Pelodiscus sinensis: one gene and its partner. The protein of the gene in region 2 purifies or fractionates together with the protein of the main gene of each other region. This does not show direct contact. Links are inferred from orthologs where the notes say so. Each region holds a gene or a part of one and is shown on either strand. Other genes may lie near its edges. The genes, in order: UBQLN4 and GJA1.

What was found.
Region 1: the proteins of GJA1 (region 2) and UBQLN4 purify together in Homo sapiens (affinity purification with western blotting; 3 studies listed by BioGRID). This does not show direct contact. The link is inferred for Pelodiscus sinensis from reciprocal best matches to the Homo sapiens genes GJA1 and UBQLN4.

Annotation. Positions count from the first base shown.
Region 1 is NC_134734.1:16,813,312-16,823,798, reverse strand, and holds the start of UBQLN4 (ubiquilin-4), read right to left. Parts: upstream 4,754-10,487; 5' UTR 4,705-4,753; coding exon 4,549-4,704; intron 627-4,548; coding exon 475-626; intron 1-474. Other genes in the region: ragulator complex protein LAMTOR2, read left to right, coding at 10,139-10,206. UniProt on the Homo sapiens protein: Regulator of protein degradation that mediates the proteasomal targeting of misfolded, mislocalized or accumulated proteins.
Region 2 is NC_134713.1:86,758,523-86,768,098, reverse strand, and holds the start of GJA1 (gap junction alpha-1 protein), read right to left. Parts: upstream 3,974-9,576; 5' UTR 3,746-3,973; intron 1-3,745. UniProt on the Homo sapiens protein: Gap junction protein that acts as a regulator of bladder capacity. A gap junction consists of a cluster of closely packed pairs of transmembrane channels, the connexons, through which materials of low MW diffuse from one cell to a neighboring cell.

The DNA of each region.
Region 1 (10,487 bases), on a different chromosome or scaffold from region 2:
CTGCACTCTAAACTTGAAATAAGATACATAATTTGTGGTATGCAAATCGCATTTCTTAGATTTTATTTCAAAATAACTTATTTTGATATTTGGCACATCTACACGGTGCCAAATCAAAATAAAGCGCTATTTCGAGCCATCCCTTATCCCCCGTGCAACAAGGTTTACTGGGATGGTGAAATAGCATGCCCATTATTTCAAAAAATATTTTGAAATAACAGGCGGCTTGTGTAGACATACCTCTATTTTCCACAAAGTAGGGGCAGAAAGGGAAACAGAACCCAAGAGTCCTAATCCCAGCTCCCCTTCTCTAAACAAGAGATCAAGCACCCCCACAGAGCCAGAAATAGAACCCAGGAGGAGTTCCTAATCCCACTATCCTGCTTTAGCCCCTGGACAAAATGCTGCCTTTTCGAAGCTACTTTCTTCACAAAGTAAGATTCTGACAGCCCCCCGGAAGGAATGAGTTCTTACTTCTGTGGGGTTTTAATGACCAAATGCACAGTCAGCCCGTCTTTGATCCCATGTTGATTCAAAGTGTCTCCATCCTTCAGGATCTTTCCAGCGAAGATCAGAACCAGCTGATCCTGTTTGGCTTTAAACCGCCTGGAAATCTCTTCTTTGAACTGGAAAATAGACAACAAGCGATTTAAGAACAGCCAAACTGAATCATGACATTGGTCCTTTTAGCCCAGTATCCTGTCTTCTAACAGGCTGATGCCAGACATGCTTCAGAGCAAATGAACATAACAGATGAGTCATCAAGTGATCCAACCCATTTGTCCACTCCTAGCTTCTGGTAGTTAAGAGTCTCAGCACACAGCATGGGATTGCATCCCTGGCCATCTTGCCTAACAGGCACTGACAGACCTATGAATCAAAAATCATAGAATACTAGAGCTGGAAGGGACACTGAGAGGTCATCAAATCCAGTCCCCTGAACTCACGGCAGGACCAAGCACCATCTAGTTCATCCTTGACAAATTTTTGCCTAACCTCCTCTTAAATATCTGTAATCATGGAGATTCCACCACTCCTTCCGCAATTTATTCCAGTGCTTACCCACCCTGACAATTAGGAAGATTTTCCTAATGTCCAACCTAATCCTCCCTTGCTGCAATTTAAGCCCATTGCTTCTTGTCCTGTCCTTAGAGGTTAAGGAAAATATTTTTTCCCTCCTACTTGTAACCTTTGATGACCTTTTAGGTACCTGAAATCTGTTATCATGTTCCCTCTTCTCTTTTCCAAACTAAACAAACCCAATTATTTCAGTCTTTCCTCATCAGTCATGTTTTCTAGACCCTTCATCATTTTTGTTGCTCTTCTCTGCACCTTCTCCAATTTGTCCACATCTTTCCTGAAATGTGATGCCCAGATTAGGCCTCAACTGAAATATTGTGCCCAAAGAGCACACAGCAGAGCAGAAGAATTACTTTTCGTGTCTTGCTTAAGACATGAGAACTTACTCTTGTTTACGTGCAAAGGTCTGAAAGCAGTGATTTTAAACTGTCTAAACGTCTGCAGCAGAACATCAGTCTCACTACCCAGACAGTACCAATAGCTGACAAAACTTCCCCACCTGAAGGATGCCAAGAAGGTGTCAGTTCACTCACCAACTGCTGGGGTGGGATGTCTAAGCTGTTTAACAGGAATAAGAATCCTGCATCCACCTGGCAAGCATAGGTCAGACTTCAGGAAGGGGCAGGGAAAGAGCCACAGCACAATTACCTCAAACAGAAAGGAGGGCTAACAAAGCCAGATCAGTTACCCCTTTTTGATCTCATCCAGCAACACAGTTTATCCTTTGCATGTCTACAGCTTTTTTGTGTCTTTCTCCTTTTCAAGTTTATAAAGGGAAAGCCAGCTTTTGAGTGATTTTAAAACAGGGAAAAGCGCTGAAAACCTGGGAACAACGGTGCAATAGCCAGGGGAAATAGACTAAATGAAGTCTTTCCTTGGTCTAACTTCTACCATTCTATTTCTTTCAGGGTATGTCTAGACTACAGGGTTTTGTCCACAGATACTGTCGACAAAGCTTCTGTCGACAAAGAGCGTCTAGACTACATCCAGTTCTGTCGACAAAGCAAGCCGCTTTGTCGACATGACAGTGTGGACGCAAAGGACAGTGTAGATGCAATAATGCCTTCTATCGACAGAACTCTGGTGACAAAAGGTGTTATTCCTCGTAGAATGAGGTTTACATACGTCGACAAAACTGCTGAGTTTTGTCGACGTTATGTCGACATAACTCAAAGGCAGTGTGGACGCAGGTATAGTTTCGACAAAAGTCCACTTTTGTCGACAAAACCCTGTAGTCTAGACACACCCTCAGTGTGCTATACCTTATAACAGGGGTGGGGAACCTAAGGCCAGCTTTTCTGAAGCCGGCCCGAGGCTCAACGCTCCCCCCAGCATTGGGGAGCTCATGCTGCTGCTCCAGCCCCACCCTATCTTCTCATCACAGGGCTGGGGCACAAAATCTACTAGCCTGGGCCCCCTAGGCTACATCTACATTGGCAAGATTTTGCGCTAATACTTTTAACGCAAGAGTTTTTGCGTTAAAGTATTTGCGCAAGAGAACGTCTACACTGGCACGTGCTTTTGCGCAAGAGATGTACTTTTGCCCAAAAGCATCCGTGCCAGTGTAGACGCTCTCTTGTGCAAGAAAGCTCCGATGGCCATTTTAGCCATCGGGCTTTCTTGCGCAAGAAATTAATGTTGCCTGGCCACTTGCGCAAGAGGGCTTATACCTGAGCAGGAGCGTCATAGTTCTTGCGCAAGAAGCACTGATTTCTTACATTAGAACATCAGTGTTCTTGCGCAAGAACTCGTAGCCAGTGTAGATAGGCGGCAAGTTTTTGCACAAAATCTTGCCAATGTAGACACAGCCCTAGTGTGTGAGGAGAATGTGAAGAGTCTCTCTCTCATCAGTCAGGGGTCAGGTCAGTGACATTTTCTTTTCTTCTCAGTTGTGTGCAGCCCCCGATTGATTTTTCTGGGGTCAGCGGCTCCCCCCCCCCCACAAAAGGTTCCCCACTCCTGCCTTGGAACATGATCTGACCACTACCCAGCCCCTGAGCTCGACTCCAATGACCACAAGGGTGCGAAGCCAGCAAGGACACCCAGCTAAAATCGCATCCCTCATACCCACCTCTGAATGCAACATTCCCTTAATGCAGGGGAGGGGAACTTTTTTGGGTCGGGGGCTGCTGACCCACAGAAAAAACAGTCAGGGGCTGCACACAGGTAAGAAGGAGAAAAAACACTCCCCATGTTCCCCTTGCACATCAGAGCCTAGGGGACCCAGGCTAGTAGATTTTGTGTGCTCCAACCTGCAAATGGCAGGGGGGTTGGAGCACAAGCAGGGGCTCCCCAATGCTGAGCCTGGGGGCCAGATCCATGCAAGCTGGGGGCCACATTCGGCCCCCAACGCCTGACATTCCCCACCCCTGCCTTAATACCTCATTGGTACTGAGGGGCTGGTAAGAACTGAATGCTTAGGAGCCGGGGTACCAAAGGGACCAGACAGGGACTTTGCTCCAATCATCACATCCACTAAGCCTTGAACTCAGTTGCCACATCCTGCAACAGAAACCAACAAAGGTTGCCACAGCCTCTGCTGCCACAAGCAGCGCCAGGGATACTTTGCCCTGGTGCCATGACCACGTTTCTGCAACACCGACGGTTCCCTCTAAATCCACTCACAACTGCACGTGGTGCCCTAAATCCCACTCCAGCCCCCAGATGCACCTGAATTAGAGATGTAAAGGGGTAACCAGTTAACCAGTAAGCTTTGCTTTGCTGGCACACTTACTTACTAGTTAACCGGCGCCCAGCTCACCAGCCCACAGGCAGGGGGCTGCTCGGGCCCAGCAGAGCCAGAGCATCCCCATGGCACAGCAGGAGCTGGAGCAGCCCCTGTTCACCGGTTCCACATACCGATTAACATTTTAAACAGGACTTTACATCCCTTATCTGGACCCCAGGCTCTCTCCTCCAAACCTTACCCATCAGCCCAGGTAAACCCGTCCCAAGATCCTCCCTCCTCCTCCACTGCCCAAGCTGTGATTCCACCCTGCTCCCTGGCTCCCACTCACACGGCTCGTACCTAGAACCCATGTCTCAGCCCAGCCCCGTCTCTCGGGTCCACCCCTCCAGACTCGGTCCCCCCCAGCTTCCCTAATCCAGATCCCGCCCCCCCCCCGGCCCTTTCACTAACCCCTCCCCTATTCGCTCCCCAGCTTCACATGCCCCGGGCCATTCAACCTCCGACCTCCCCCGGCCCCACCCCCCCCAAGCGCAGCCGGGTCTCCGGCCCAGTCCCACTTCCCGCCCGAAGCCCCCGACCCCACACGCAGCCCCCCACCGCCCCGCCCCGGCAAACGCAGCCCGCGGCCCCCCCACCATGCAGCCGCTTGTCCACGGCTCTCTGCCCCACACGCAGCCCCCCGGGCCCGGCCCGCCTCCCCCTCCCCCCACACGCAGCGCCCAGCCGCCCTCAGCCCCCCCGGCCCCTCCCCCCACACGCAGCCCCCTGCCCGGCCCCACCTCCCGCACGGAGGCGCCGTCCCCGATGACGATCTCCTCCTTGTCCTTGGGGGTCTTCACCGTGACGCGGATGAGGAGCCCGCCGGGCGCGGGGCCGCCCAGCTCCGCCTCGCCCTCCCCGCCGGGGCCCGGGCCGCCGCCGCTCAGCTCCGCCATCTTCGCCGCCCGCCCCAGCCAGCCAGCCCGCCCCGGCAGCCGGCGTGGGGAGAGCGGCGCCCCGGCCGCGGCGGCGGGGAGAGGCCGGCGCACAGCGCCCCCGCCTGGCTCGGCGGGGAACTGCAGCGGGGGGGGGGGGTGGAGTCGGACTACAGCGAGAACCTGGGGGGGGGCAGAGGTGGGTGTGCACCGTGGGATAATCTCGGTGGGAGCGGACCGGGAGGGAGCCCCACGGGGGAGGGGAGTGGACCAGGCGGAGAACTGAAATGCGGGGAGAGCCACGGAGCGGGAACTGCAGGGAAGGCAGGAGCAGCCTCAGACTCACTGTGCAGGGGGCGGAGGGCAGGACAGGGTGACTGGGCGGGTCAGGCGGCGCGGTCTCTCCTTTTGGTTCCCCGTCTGACAGCCAACAGAATAGACTGGGGTGGTGTCCCTTTAAAAGGAGAAGAGAGAGAATGTTGGTATGAGAGGGTTCCCTGGCAGCTGCGGATGGAATGTTGGTATGTGAGGGTTCCGTGGTAGCTAGGGATGGAACGTCAGGATCAGAAGGTTCTGTGGCAGTTGGAGATGGAATGTCGGGATCAGAGGGTTCCTTGGCAGCTGGGGATGGAATGTCGGGATCAGAGGGTTCCTTGGCAGCTGGGGATGGAACGTCGGGATCAGAGGGTTCCGTGGCAGCTGGGGATGGAATGTGGGGATCCGAGGATTCTGTGATAGTTGAGGATGGAATGTCAGGTTCAGGGGGTTCTGTGGCAGCTGGGGATGGAATGTCAGGATCAGAGGGTTCCGTGGTAGTTGGGGATGGAATGTCAGGTTCAGGGGGTTCTGTGGCAGCTGGGGATGGAATGTCAGGATCAGAGGGTTCCGTGGTAGTTGGGGATGGAATGGTGGTATCAGAGGGCTCTGTGGTAGGTAACTGGGGATGGGAGGCTTTGTTTCAGAGGGATGGAAAGTTGGTATCAGACAGGGAAAACGTAAGAATGGTCACACTGGGTCATACCAAAGATCCAGCTAGCCATAGGCAATTAGTTATATTGGCCCATTGTGCCTGTGCTCCACCAATACTCAGGAACATGGGCCCAACTCCAGCAACATTTGGGCTGATATTTTGAGAGCCATCCTGTCCATAGGACAGACTGGGACAACTGCCCTCTGCTCTGGAGGGCCCTGTGCTTCTGGGGGATGCACAGACCAGGGCTGCCTGGTGGGCTTATCAGGGGGGCCTGGTACTAGCAGCATTTCCACCCCACCATGCCCCCACTCCACCTTTTCATTCAACCCCCACCCCACTCCTCTTTCCAGCTTCTGTCTCTCCCCTGAGCAATGCCAGGAGCCAGCAAAGTGGGCCAGAGCAGGGAGAGGTCACTTGTTGTTGCCAGTGCCAGGCCCCCCACTAATCCTTCAGGCCACCCTGGACCCCCAAAGCACAGGGCCTGGGATAGTTGCCTCTGGTCCTGATCTTGGGCCCATTCTGAGCACCACTGAAAATTACATCTAGCCCAGTATCCTGTCTTCTGAAAAGGGTTAATGCCAGGTGCCCCAGAGGGAATGAACAGAACAGGGAATCATTAAGTGATCCAGCCCATGTCACTCATTCCCAGCCTCTGATAAACAAAATCCCTGCCTATCCTGGCTAATAGCCAATGATGGACCTACCCTCCATTAATTTATCTAGCTCTTTTTTAAACCCTGTTATAGTCATGGCCTTCACAACATCCTCTAATGAGGAGTTCCACAGGTTGACTGTGCATTTTGTGAAGAAATACTTCCTGTTTGTTTTAAACCTGCTGTCTGTTAATTTCATTTGGTGACCTCTAGTTATTTTGTTATGGGAATGAGTAAACAGCACTTCCTTATTTACTTTCCCCTCAACAGTCATGATTTTATAGACCTCTATCATATTCCCCCTTAGATGTCTCTTTCACAAGCTGAAAAGTCCCACTTTTATTAACCTCTCCTCATTTGGAAGCCATTCCATATCACCAATTCATAGGATACTAGAACTGGAAGAGACCTCAGAAGGTCATCAAGTCCTACACACATGGCTGGACCAAGTATCATCTCATCCCAGATAGATGTTTGTGTTATCTGCTCTTAAAAATCTCTAATGATGGAGATTCCACAACCCCCCTCGGCAATTTATTCCAGTGTTTAACCACCTTGACAGTTAGGAATTTCTTCCTAATGTCCAACCTGAACCTTCTATGCCATTGCTTCTTGTCCTATCATCAAAGGTTAAGGAGAATAATTTTTCTCCTTTCCCTTCTAACAACCCTTTAGGCACTTGAAAGCTGTTATGTTCCCTCTCAGTCTTCTCTTTTCCTGAATAAACAAACCCAGTTCTTTCAGTCTTCCCTCATGGATCATGTTTTTTAGGTATTTAATCATTTTTGTTGTCATATCCACAACATGGAACAAGGTTCTATGACAGCTGAGGATGGAGTGTCAGGATCAAAGGGTTTCATGGGGATAGAATGTGGAGTCAGAGTGTTCTGTAGTAGCTGGTGTTGGAATATTAGGATCAAAAGATTCCGTGGCAATTAGGCTGGGACAGATTGGAAGGGACAGTTCTGAGTGATAGTTGGGAATGGGCATCTGGAGTGAGAAAGAAAGATAGGAATGAAGTGTGGGGAAAACCCTGTCTACACTGAATACAACATCCGTATTCAGAGCTGTGCTAGTAGTTAATTATGGCCAGGGCTCAACAAATAATACAATCTACTTGCCCTTGGTGAGTAGATTGCAACCCGGAAGAGCCAGGTTCGGGTGATCTGCACATGCGCAGATTTCCGGACAGCACGGCTGGCGAGTGGGACTCGCCGTGGTTCGGTGAGCCCTGATTATGGCTATCCAGTCTGTTGTGGATAATGCCTGGGGATATCAGCAGCTGATATAATGTTAGGTTTCAGAGTCATGTTAGTCTGTTTTAGCAAAAACAAAGAGTCCAGTGGCACTTTAAAAACTAACAGATTTATTAGTGTATTAGATTGTATGCTTTCCTGAGTTACAATTCACTTCCTCAGATTCTGAAGAAAGAAAGAAAGAAAAAAAGAAAGAAGCATAAGGAAGATTTATTATTAATTATGTATAATAATAATATTCAAGATCCACCCTGTATGTTTTCTGAGATAGCAACAAAAAGACACCAGAAAAATACACCACTACCTATTAGGCACTGTCTACCACAGCAAAATTAGTGCTCATATTTCAATAACTACAACAAGGGGGCAGTTGGTGCGTGGCTGGTAAAGACAAGGCCTAGTCAGTTCTTCTAATGTGTGTATCAATCTAAGGTCTTTATATGGCCCATTGGCCACCATTATTTTAGTATCTGAGTCCCCTCCAACCTATAGAATATTATCCTGAAAGTAACCCCATGTGAGGCAGTGCTGTGCAGATGCCCCCAGTTTTTACATACAGGGATTGGAGGCATAGGCAGATTAAATGATTTACCCAAGGTCACACAGGAAATCTATGGCAGAGCAGGGAATCCTCAAGTCCCAGTCTAATTAGTGATAAAGTCTGTTGGAAGGAGGGTTCGAAGGCTCCTCCCACACTCCCCCAGGAATGAGCTGTTGCAAAAGAACTATAAAAAGCACTGGAGAGTGCTTGCTAATCTCTGATAGGCAACTAGTCTCTTAATGTAAGTAGCTGTGTGTGAAAGTAACTTAGTTATTTGATTCTTGACCTTTTTTAGGGGTTATCTGTGCTACAAATGTAATTATTGTGGGGCTACAATGTTGTTAAAGCAGCACTTGGGTGAGGGTAATTCTTCTCCCCCAATATTCTTCAACCCCCCTTCTCCGCCAATATTCTTCAGCACTGTCAGTTGGGGGCAGACTTTGGCAAAATGGCTTGGTTTTGCTGGGATACTTAGCTAAACTTAATTAAGTTTAAAATTCTTTGGAGGGGGGACTACAGAGTCTATCTTGCTTCACAATTAGGCCTTTGATGTGTTACTGTAATATGTGTATACCTGGGTCCAGCCCAATGGAGCCTTTTTTTTTTTTTTTTTTTTTTTTTAAACAAATCAGGAGTCCCTATTTGGGGATGAAATGGGATGTATGCTCCTAGAACTCTGAAGGAGGACAACTGCATTTTCATTGTCCTCCTGAACAATGTTCCTTCTCTCTTCCATCCATGTGTGTAGCTTTTTTGTTTTAAGGACAGTGGACAGTCATACATGCCTCAGTGCACATTAAAAAAATTGCTATCTGTGAGTGCTCTGCTAATCAGCTGAGTGATGTTTGAATCTCCCCTGAGTGGCTGTGCAAGTGCCCAGCTTTCAGGGAACACCTGTGGTCATGGTGGTGGAGTGCAAGAAATGTGGCCTTCAGTAACATACTGCATTAGCTTTGCTTCCTAGACTGATAGCTGTCCCTGCATAGATACAGAATTCTCTGTCCTTAAAAGGTACACAGGGCTAAGAAGAAAAAAGTTTCCCAGTTCACTCACGCACCTGCCTATGCTTTTCTTCTACTGCCCCCACAGGGATTGGGGGTACCTGGGGTAGTAGAGAATTTTATAAACAGATGGGACCAGCAATAGGGAAAATGACACTGATAGGGCTGCAGTGTCATCCCTGCCCAAATTATCAAACTCCTGGGTCAGGTCTGCCAGAAGCCATGAGATTGGCTTAAAAATGACAAGATCTTCCAAAAATAACATGTATTTGCTTTTTTTTCCTGAGTCTTTAGATGTCATGCTTATCAGTTTTTCCTCTACAACTGCAATGTCCCCAGACAGTAGGTTGGTGGTTTTGTTTTGAATCACCAGCCTCCTCATATTTGGTGTCTGATTTCCAGCATGAACACCTGAAGTCCTATAGAAGTCAGATAGATATGGAGCTGATGGGTTTTTTGCGGGGGAAAAAAATCTTGTAAATGTGACCTACATATTCCTAAAGGCTCGAAATCCAGCAAGCAAATAAAAAGAACACAAAATTGTTCTAGGGGGCTGACCCGTGGGTCTCTTTCTATCTCTTCCCTTTCTACATGCTTGGCATTTGCAACATGGCAATCGTGAAGTTTAGAAACTTTGTTTTCATGAAAGCTGAGGTTCAACTGACTCCAGCAGCTGGGGATGTTAAAAAGACCCAAAATGTGTGAGTTGTCTGTAGCTTGTATGAAGGTAAATGGTATGTTTCCTGTGGTGTGATTACAGGAGATCACAGTAGTTGTGTGAACTGCTAAGGACTGGGGTCGTTTGGTGTGTAGCACCAGCGGTATGCTAGTCACCCACAAAGAGAAATTGCCCTGCAATCTGTGTGCATGAAATGCCCTGTCTATGCAACAGAACTGGAAAAGAACTACAACTCCCAGCCTGCTGTGGGCTGAAGTCGCCCTGCACGGGTTGATCAGCTGATGGGGAAGCAGGCTCTCTGAGCTGTGTGTGTTTCCACCACTGCAGGGAGGAAAAAGGATCTGTTGCTACCATGCTGCGCCCGAAGGCCCTAACCCAGGTCTTGAGCCAAGCCAACACTGGAGGGGTCCAGAGCACCCTGTGAGTATAAAGGGAGTGGTGGGGGAGAGGAGTGGGCATGGCTGGGTATGGATCAGGGAACCCTGTCCCTGAAGTATTGTGACCAGATCAGTGGTCCCATTAAGGATTAGTGCCCCCTCCTCCAAAGGGTCTTCCCCTCTCCCTACATCTCCCACTTCATGCCCCGGTAGGAACAGAGACATCTTGGTGGCCCCCCACCCAGCTTCAGTTGTGTTGTACAATTCCTTTTCTGAAAAGTGGGGAGGAAGAAGCAGCCCAGTGCACCCTAATAAGGAGTAGTC
Region 2 (9,576 bases):
TGTATTTTTAGAACGTATTGCCTTGTTTCAGCATCCAAAATTGTTAAGTTCCATTATGTCCTCTGGCAATACAAACTCCAGGAGGACACATTCCTTGCTTGAATTACTCATACATAGTTTTGAAACACAAACTTTTTTATAAAGAGATCAGTTACCCTCTAGCATTTGCCAGTGATAAAACACCTACATCAGTTCATAACATTGTGCTGTTAAGCAGACAACCTTGAAATGGCACAAACATATTATTCCTTTGCTTAAGTAGAGACTATTGTTTTATGAAAACCAGTGTTTCAATTTGTCACAGAGAAAATTCATTGAGTGGATCTAAGCTGTTACTTTCAGTGTACTAAAAGAGCATTTTTATTAACTAATGTATACTATGTTACTAGATATTATAAAAGTTTAACTTTATTTCTGGAAGGAACGATTATGCAAATGTTCTTGCTGCTTTTACATTGCTTTAAAACTGAAGATCTCCTTTAGTGTGTAGCTCCTAATATCTCTTACCTTTTATGATTTAGACTGCTTTTAGCAATAGCATCCTAATGAAATGCTTGCATCATATTACAAGGACTGATAAAATTACTAGTTAGACCTTCCTCCTCCCCACGTTCAGCAAGGTACTTAAGCATGGGCTTGGTGTTACCCAAGTAGCCGAAGTTCTTACTCATTGCTATTTTATATGATGATATAGCTTCTATTTAGATGGCTAATACTAAACCTGGCCTGTAAAGCAATTTAGTAGATACATGTCTTCTCAATTCTACTATGTGTGTGTGTGTGTGTGTGTGTGTGTGTACTGAGTAAATGATGCACAGAAGAAAGAAATATGATAATACTCATCTGTATGTGCATGGGACAGCCACATGTAACAGAAATTGGATCTATACAACACAATAGAGAAATTGGAAAAAAAATTGTATGGAAGGCATTCACACTGTGTCTTGTGGGTCATATTTTCCAGGAGAGATAGGGTAGTCTGAGGTACCCTGCTACACCGTTTAAGTCTGACTGCAGTGTCCATAGAGCACATGGTAATGAGTGAATCAGGCACAGGACTGTAGCGCTCATAGTGTGTGGGATCTGAAATGAGGCTGCAAGAGTGATTAGGAAATGAGCCAAGATCTCTGGCCCTCCCATACACCCCCAAAAAACCCTGCCCTTGAAATACAAGTAGAAATAAATAACAAAACTGATCTTTTGAGAGGGTCCCTGCCACTTGAGCACTGAGCACCATGACCCTTTTCCAAGAGCAGCCAGCTGCTGAGGAAAAGGCACTAAAATGCCCAAAACTTGGGGTTGTGGTTTTTTAATGTTAAATGTATGCAGTCTCATAAAAGTTAAGGAAATGGTACTCTTACAGTCCACTGGAAAGATAGAGTCCACCTCTAGGTCTTTAGATACACTTCAAGGATAGAAAACTTCACTTACAAGACAGAGAGGGCATCCTAAATGGTCACACAGTAATCAGTGCTTAATAGTCATTGCTGGTGTTGATTTGTTTTCTTTTCTAAGCTCCGAGCGTTCATGACCATGCATGGATCCTCTCCTTAAGCTTTAGAGGCACTTTTTCCAGGTATCTCATTCTTTCTACCCAATCTATCTTTATGGAGCTTTACCGGAGGACCGAGCACGAGACAGGAAAAAATAACTCCATGAGAACTTCCAGTTGTACAAGTCAGGTCTCCAGATGATGAAATCCCTTAACAACCTATGAACCATGCACCCATGTTTTTGTTCAAATTCATCCATGATATAAGTGACTACAAATTCCTTTGAAATCATGAAATCTCTATCCACTTACTCTAATTATGAATTTGGTGCTTTATGTTTAACATGTATAAGTTTTCTGAAAAGAAAATATGATATAAATGTGTATCCAGATGCCTAGATTCAAGGGGCAAAGAGAATATTATTTGTTTCACTAGGAACACAATCCAAACTTTCAATCACACAAGCAGAGCCATGCACAGATACAAAATTTGCATCCACATCTGTATCCACAAAAATGAACTGTGGATATCTGCATCCACATCTGCAGATATGGTACCTGTGGATATAAAGCAAATATCCACAAATTTTCAGGGTTCTAGATACAAAATGTGTATCCACATCTGCACTCCTGTCCACAGAACAGAGCCGTGTATATCCACAGATATAAAGCAGATAACCATTAATTTGCAGGTTTCTACACACAAGTGTCTTTTTACCTAAACAGAAGTTCATTTGATTTCAATATCAGACTATATTCATTTTTCAGACTAGATAGAAATGAGATCTGAAAGCACTTTACAATATGTATTGGGTATACTGTGTATATACATATTTTGCTACAAATGCACTGCATCCTTCCTTTCCCCCTTTTGAACTCAGCCTGTTGCACATCCTTCTCATATTTGTATGTTTGTTAGGTGTCATGGGTCAGTGCCAATGTTCAGCTTTGAAGGTTTTGAGGGAAACACTTCTGTAAACATTTCAAAGTCAAGAGACTTCAGGAGTTCTATAGTGCAGTGTATGCTGTCCAGATGTTAAGATGGCAAGATGAAAGGCGCTGTGCAAGTTCCCTCCACATGCACAGACAGAGAAATTGGAGACATGAGTAGTTGCTCAGATCTGTTTTGTTGTTCATTTTTAATGAGACTCACTTAGAAGACTCTCCGTGAACATTCTGCTAGGAAAACTACCCCAAACTTCTGGGCAAGTAAGTTGTATTATGTAAGATGGGGGAAATCCTAGCTGGGCACAATAAAACACAATTGTGATGCCCCATTGAAGCCCATTCTTCACCCCCCTCATTTTGTTCTTTAATTATTGGCAAGAACCCGGAAAACAGCAATAAAGAATCAAGCCAGAGTCTTGCAATCTGCTTTAGACAAGGGTCAGTTCTGTGAAAGATGCTGCCCAAGAATTCCGTTCCTCTGCGGTCCTTTATTATGGTTCTCAAGGCAGATTATAGGAAATGTATCATGACATATTGGGACTATTCTCAGACTGCTTCCCTTAAAGAACTTTCACAGGCATTGCCAGCGTGGTGAGCGGATGTCTGAGTGCTGCATGATTCTTCTAAAATCCCTAACTGTGTTACTAACACAGAGTAACTATATACAAAATGTCTTTAAAAAAATCTTTAACATGTCTGGATTTTATCACATTCATTTAAAAGAAGGGAGAAAATGTTCAGCAAGGCCAGGTGAAAGTCACCAGATTAGTAGCAGCAGCAGCATTTTAACAAAACAACCAATTAAGACCCTAGCTTTGCATAAACTATTAAACATCAATCAAGATTTCCATATGAAAGCAAAATGTGTGGGAGACAAATGGAAAACACTTAGGATAGGAGCTCTCTGTTATTAACTTCTGAGACCTTTTCAGTAGAACAAGGGATTCCAGAACTTTGAAATTATTATTTTTCTTAAACTAGCAAATATAGACCTAGATAATTGTGAACATTGATTTTTTTTACCAAAATCAAATAAAGAGGCTCATAATCCCATGGTGCAGATGATGTTTTGCCATCGTTTACCTGTTACAGAATCAGGTTATTAGTTGAAAATTAAAATTATTTAGAGAAATGTTTAAAATATAACAAAAACAAACAAACAATCCCCAAAAATGTTAATCTCCAGAAATGGATAAATTTTAAACATGTTTTGCTGTTTTTTACAGTTTGCTTTAAATATTCCAATAATGAGGAAAACAATAGAAAACTCCTGAAATCAAACAAAGTAAAAACTTTCCAACTTACCCTTGCTGATGATCAGTGAAGCAAGCAAACAAGTGCCTCTTTGGAAGAACAAGCTAAAATGGAAAAGCAAGTTCAGGCTTTCGACCTGTCTATTTAAACTTTAAAAGTCTACTGCTGTTTTGTAGTTTTCATCCTTCCTTGCCCACTAATGAAAGAAAAGTGCTGATACCTTGTAAAAAGTTTTTTTCTAACTTTGAACACTGGGAGAGCTTTTAACAAGCCACTACAGGGAGGAGGGGAGAGGAGGGAAAGTCAGGGAATGGGGAGGAGAAAAGGGGGAGGAGGAAAAGCAAGAAGAGACAGCAGAAAACTTTATGGAATAAAGGAAAGAGAACTGAGCATATTGAAGTTGAACAAATGAAGGATCATTCCGTAAGGAGAGTTGAGATATTCTAAATGATACACTGAGTGGTAGTTTATTCAGAACCGAACTCAGAGTTACCTGAGACAAATGAGATGGTTTAACTTTCTTAAGATGTTTGAAGTCTTTGGAAAGGGAACAGAGAGTAAAAAATCAGTTTGTAACCTGAACCATCCTGCCAGGCTCTGCATTGGGATACACGGTTTTGCCTTCTCATTCCCCTCCCTGTGGAGTGGCAGTCACAACATGAGAAGTTTATATTCTCTTCTTTGCATATCTTTAGTTTACTTGCTCTATTTCCCTGAGGTGCTCAACAGAAAGCAACAGTGTGTTTGTTAATGTACTTTTCATACCTGTGGGTGCCTCAGAAGATAACACAGCACATGATTTTTTGGTGAAGGTTTCTGAGAAGCAGCGAACTTATATTCCAGAAAACTCATGCCATGAAGTTTCAGTACAACACCCAAAATATAATGCAGGGCATTCAGTCTCAAATAGTGAGCAGCACTGAGTAGTCACAGTATTTCAGTCCATGTCACTAAATGTACACAAGAAAAAAAAAAGTCCCTTCCAATTGGATTGAAGCCAAACTGACTTTTGCCCTGATCTGAATGAAATAAACCCTCTTACAACAAACGTGTTCTCTGTAAAACACAGCTGAATTTTATACCATCTATTGTGGTGAGGATTCTCAGACACAGAGTTGAACAAGTGTCCATATGAACTGGGCATTACATAAGGAACTGTATTTGTATTTTTCAAACCAGGTGGTATTGACTTTTTAACTTCCCAAGCCTGGGCAATAACTAGGTTAGTTTAGCAGCTACTCCAACAGCTCCCACTGGTTGGACAGCTTCCCATGACCATTCTTCTGTGATGGTGTACAGCTAGGTGTTTAGCAAGTTCATTTGGGGTCATAATCCTCAGGAAAGGGTATTTCTGGACTCGCTCAGGGTTAGCAGCGTCCAATCTCACTTAAGAGGCTAATATCAGGGAGGAGGTAAAATGATACCCATTTTGGTGTTCGTCACTGATTTTGAGTAAAATTCACCTACTCATCTTCTTGGAACTATTGATGTCAAATTATGTAAGGCTAAGTATAATATATAATAATATACAATATCATAGTCTTTTGCTTAGCTCTTACATAGTACTTTTCACCCACCACCCTCAAAGTACTTTATAGATCAAGGTAAGTATTGTTACTCCATCGGGGAAAGTAAGGCAAAGATGGACACACAGCTGTCTAGTGGGAAGACTGGCAAAAGAACCTAAATATCCTGATGCACAGGCCAGGGTCCACTCTGTCTCCTGTTTTTAAAAGATAGTATAGGGATTATGCATACATCCCAAAACACTTATTTCTTTTGCTACAGCCTGATCACAGCAACCCAAGTTCGCAGTGCAGCCATACAACAAATATAAGCACAACAGTAAATATAAGCACTATAGGGAAAATAAATTTGGTAATAATAGTCAATGTAATCTTTGGTACTTCCCTCTGAAAGGCAAGAGTGTTCTGTTTCAAACATCCAACAGGACATTGTAAAGAAAGAAGAAAGATGACAATTATGACAATTATTATTATTACTCTATGGCAAATTCCTTGCCAAGGTCTCCCTAAAAATTAAACATGACTGTCACTGAATTCATGTATCACAATTTGATTTTACCACCTCTGTCTTTGTAAAAGCGCCAGAGTTCCAGTCTTGTCTTTATTTGTGTGAGGAAGTAAATTAACTTTTTCAAACCAAATGAACATTTTCACACAGCTGCTTTTCAGACAGGCTCCTTAGTGTTCAACAGAAATTTTTCAGAATTGTGATATTTATATGTCTGTTCCTAACTGAGAAGGACAAGGAGGTGGATGAAAATAAGGACTTGGGCTCTCCCATGGAAATTTGCTGTTCTTGATCTGAAAGATCCTTCATTTTTTGAATGAACTCTTAAAGCACAGCACTCCTTGGGGCCAGTATTGCTATCTGATGGTTTTGAATTGTGAAGCAAAAGTTATGAGGCCAAGAAGCAACGCTTGAGCAGCATTCTATTTCTGTGAACATGTGTGGGTTTGAGCTGGCAGGCTAGAATTCAACTAGTGCAGGCAAGTTTCAGGTTCCTACCCAAACTTTTTATATTCCTCAGCTTCTTTAGTCATTGTGACTAAAACTCCAAGTCGGTATTTGATTTTCTGTTCAGTCATAATAGGATTTATATCCTTTGTATTAGGGAAGTAGTTCAGAGACTACACTTTTGTTTCAATTTTTTCTGACCAGAACTCAGATATATTTTGACAGTTTAGTTAATATTTATTGTCTTTAATACAGCATTCAGTCCGGTATTCTTTTTTTCTATTTATTACACACACATATCATAGTATAGTGCCCATGTGTACATCTAAACAAAGGCTTTATTCTGCATGCTGCCATTTTTTTAATCCTCCAGTTCACTGGGAAAGGCTAAATAGCTGAGTTTCATTTGAAATATAGCATTAATATGTTGGTATCCGGTCCCTGATGTTGAAATCTGTGCATACAGATTGGTGGGCGTTACAGAGGCCACATTTCCGATTGACTTCTAAGACCCACTCACAGCAAAGGGGTGTCACTAATCTATTAGTGCTCTGAAAGCACAGCACATTCTTAGCTTCAATCTGAGCATAAGTGTGTTGACTGCAAATCTCACTTCACTCTGCTTCCTTGTGCTGCTCAGCTCTCCTTTACTGCAGTTCCAAGAGTGAGGCCAATCAATGCAAAGTGCACTCAGCTGGGAACACATGCAGGGATTGTCTTAGGTGCTTTACAAGAGAATTAGGCCTCTAACCAGGAAGGTAACTTAACTAGGACCCTAGATGACCAATATGAGCAGCAAATTTTTACCATCATTCTTTGTTGTGTGCTTAGGGTTTATTGGTCTGGACTGTCCAATGTCTTGCTGGTAAAAGGTTGGGCACTCAGAATACACATTACCATAACTGTGATAGTTCTTGCTTATCTTAGTGCTTGAATGTGCAGCCTTAAGATTCTTTTAGAATAGTGGTGGTTTGTTCTTATATTGTAAAATTAACAAAAGTAGTACCAAGAAGAATTATATTCTTCATAGCTTTGAAGTTCTGCATTTGTCCAACAAATCAGCCATAACTCTGGTAATTTCCATAATCTAGGACTACATGGCTAGAAGATCTTATCTCGTACAATTTCAGACTGCAGAAGGAAACACCAAAAACATACATCCCGGGAATTTCAAAGGGTCTTAACTTGGACAAATAAAAGCTAAATGTCTTTGGATTGTAAACCCTGGGGACATGGATTATCTCTTTTCTATGCTTGTCCAGATCCCAGGGGCCCCAAATTGGAGTGAGACCTTTGGGTGCTACTTTTATATAAACATTTACTGAGAATGAATGTTTTCTTCAGAAGATTTCTTCTTAGTAAACATTATTGCCCTTCCTTTCCACCCTCAGCTGTTGTGACTGCAGGGATGTTCAAAACAGGTAGTAGTAGTCTTTTCTAATTAGAAAAGATGTTTTTTGACTCTCCTTTTACTCAAAATATGCTGAACTATTTTTGATCAACTATTACAATAAAGGGGAAAAAAGATATTGGGAGAGAATTTCAGCTGAAGGTTTCCAAAAGTGAGAAAGGACTAAAACCAGAATCTATTATTCAACTTTAACTGTAAAAATCACAGTCACTTCTGCTGTAATATTTTGTGATTCTAGCCTGCCATCTACCTAGGATCTCAGAGTGTGCTACAAACATCAATGAAAGTTAAGCCTTACTCTACTCCTATAAACTATGTCGTAGAAAGCATTTTAAAATATAAGGAAACTGAAGCTGGGAGAAGTTAAGTAGCTTACCCATGGCCACACATGTAGCCATTGGCAGAGACAGAATAAGAACTGGGATCTATTAACTCCCAGTCTTGAATTGTAAGTACTTCACCTCTCTCTAGTCTTTCTGCACTACTGTGTAAGCAGTAAGAACAATTAAATTCAGGTTTTAAAAAAATACAGCAGATGTTACTGAAGTCAATAGAAGTTTGATGTGAGGACAGGCTTTAGCAGATGTGGCTCTCTTCACCCACTCCCAGTATCACAGCATGCAACTGTGAAGTGCATTCTTCACAGCAGCCCATGAGATGTCACCACTGCCTGATCATGATAATGTACTCAATGTGATTTGCTTACTTCTCATGCCACATTCTGAGACATACTAACTTACCCCAATTTTATTGAGTGGTTTGTGGCAGAAAGCAATGAATTGTGCCTCTAATTCCTATTTACTGTGCTAGCAAAGATAGCAGAAATTAATCAAGAGAGCCTAAAGATTGAAAATTACAGCTCTATTAAAATAAAATAAAATAAAATAAAATAAAATAAAAAATCAGTGTAATTGATTCTGGTTAATATTCCCCCCCCCCCCAACAAAGTACGTTCCATCAAAGCAATTATATAAATTAAAAAGCCAGTCAGAGGAGCATTTCAAGCAGGAAAAGAATGTGTACATAGATCCTTATGAATTTGGCTCCACCTTCTGTACACAGTGAAAATAAACATGAATTAAACTGTGTCTTGAATGCCATTTTAGTCTGGTTTTTTGGTTTTACTTTTCAGTTCAATTTCAAAAGCCTGCCCACTTAGGTCCTCATGCATTTTAGTAAATCTTAATCTCTACATACTGAGACAGAGGTTTTTCAATAATTCCGTTCCAAAAAACAGAATATTTTTTTTATAATTCATTCACTTTAGCAAACTGAAATCAGGGTAGCAACTGGGACTATTTAAAGATGTGTGACCTTTAGATTTTGTATGTGTGGAGGGCAGTTGGCAATCATTCAATTAGTGTATGTTAAAATTTTGCATAGACTGTGAAGTGCTTACTTACATCAGCAAGTAGGTGTTCACATTTGTAATCCCACTGAATTTATTAGGACTCTACCCACGAGTCACTGCTCACTATAGTAAGCAAGGGCTCCACAGTTGGAATCCTAACTAGAATCTTATGTATGAATAAAAGGAAAAGAGGCTGAAAACCCCTAAAGTTTTAGCTGTTTTTGAATTCATTTAAAAAATGTTTTCATTGTAATTTGAATGCTCTTATAATTTGACATTCAATTAGACAGCACAATAATGTGCATGCCCATAGTAGTTATTATACATGAAATGATTAAAATATAAATTAAAATATAAAATATAAATAATAATACTTACCATAGCATTTAAATAGCTGTTTTTTTCTTCAATGATTGCAAATATTAATTAGTATCTGGTAACAACAATATCTACAATACCTCACAGGGTTGGGTTGGGAAATCTGTTACAGTGTTAACAACATGCCAGGGGAAGAGAATCTAAGAGGCCTGTTTATTTTCACCCTGATTTTAGAATTTCCTGGGTATTCTCAGTTTTATTGCAGTTTTCCCAAGTTTTCATTTTGGCCTCTGGATATACCAACATGAGGATGGGAGAAAA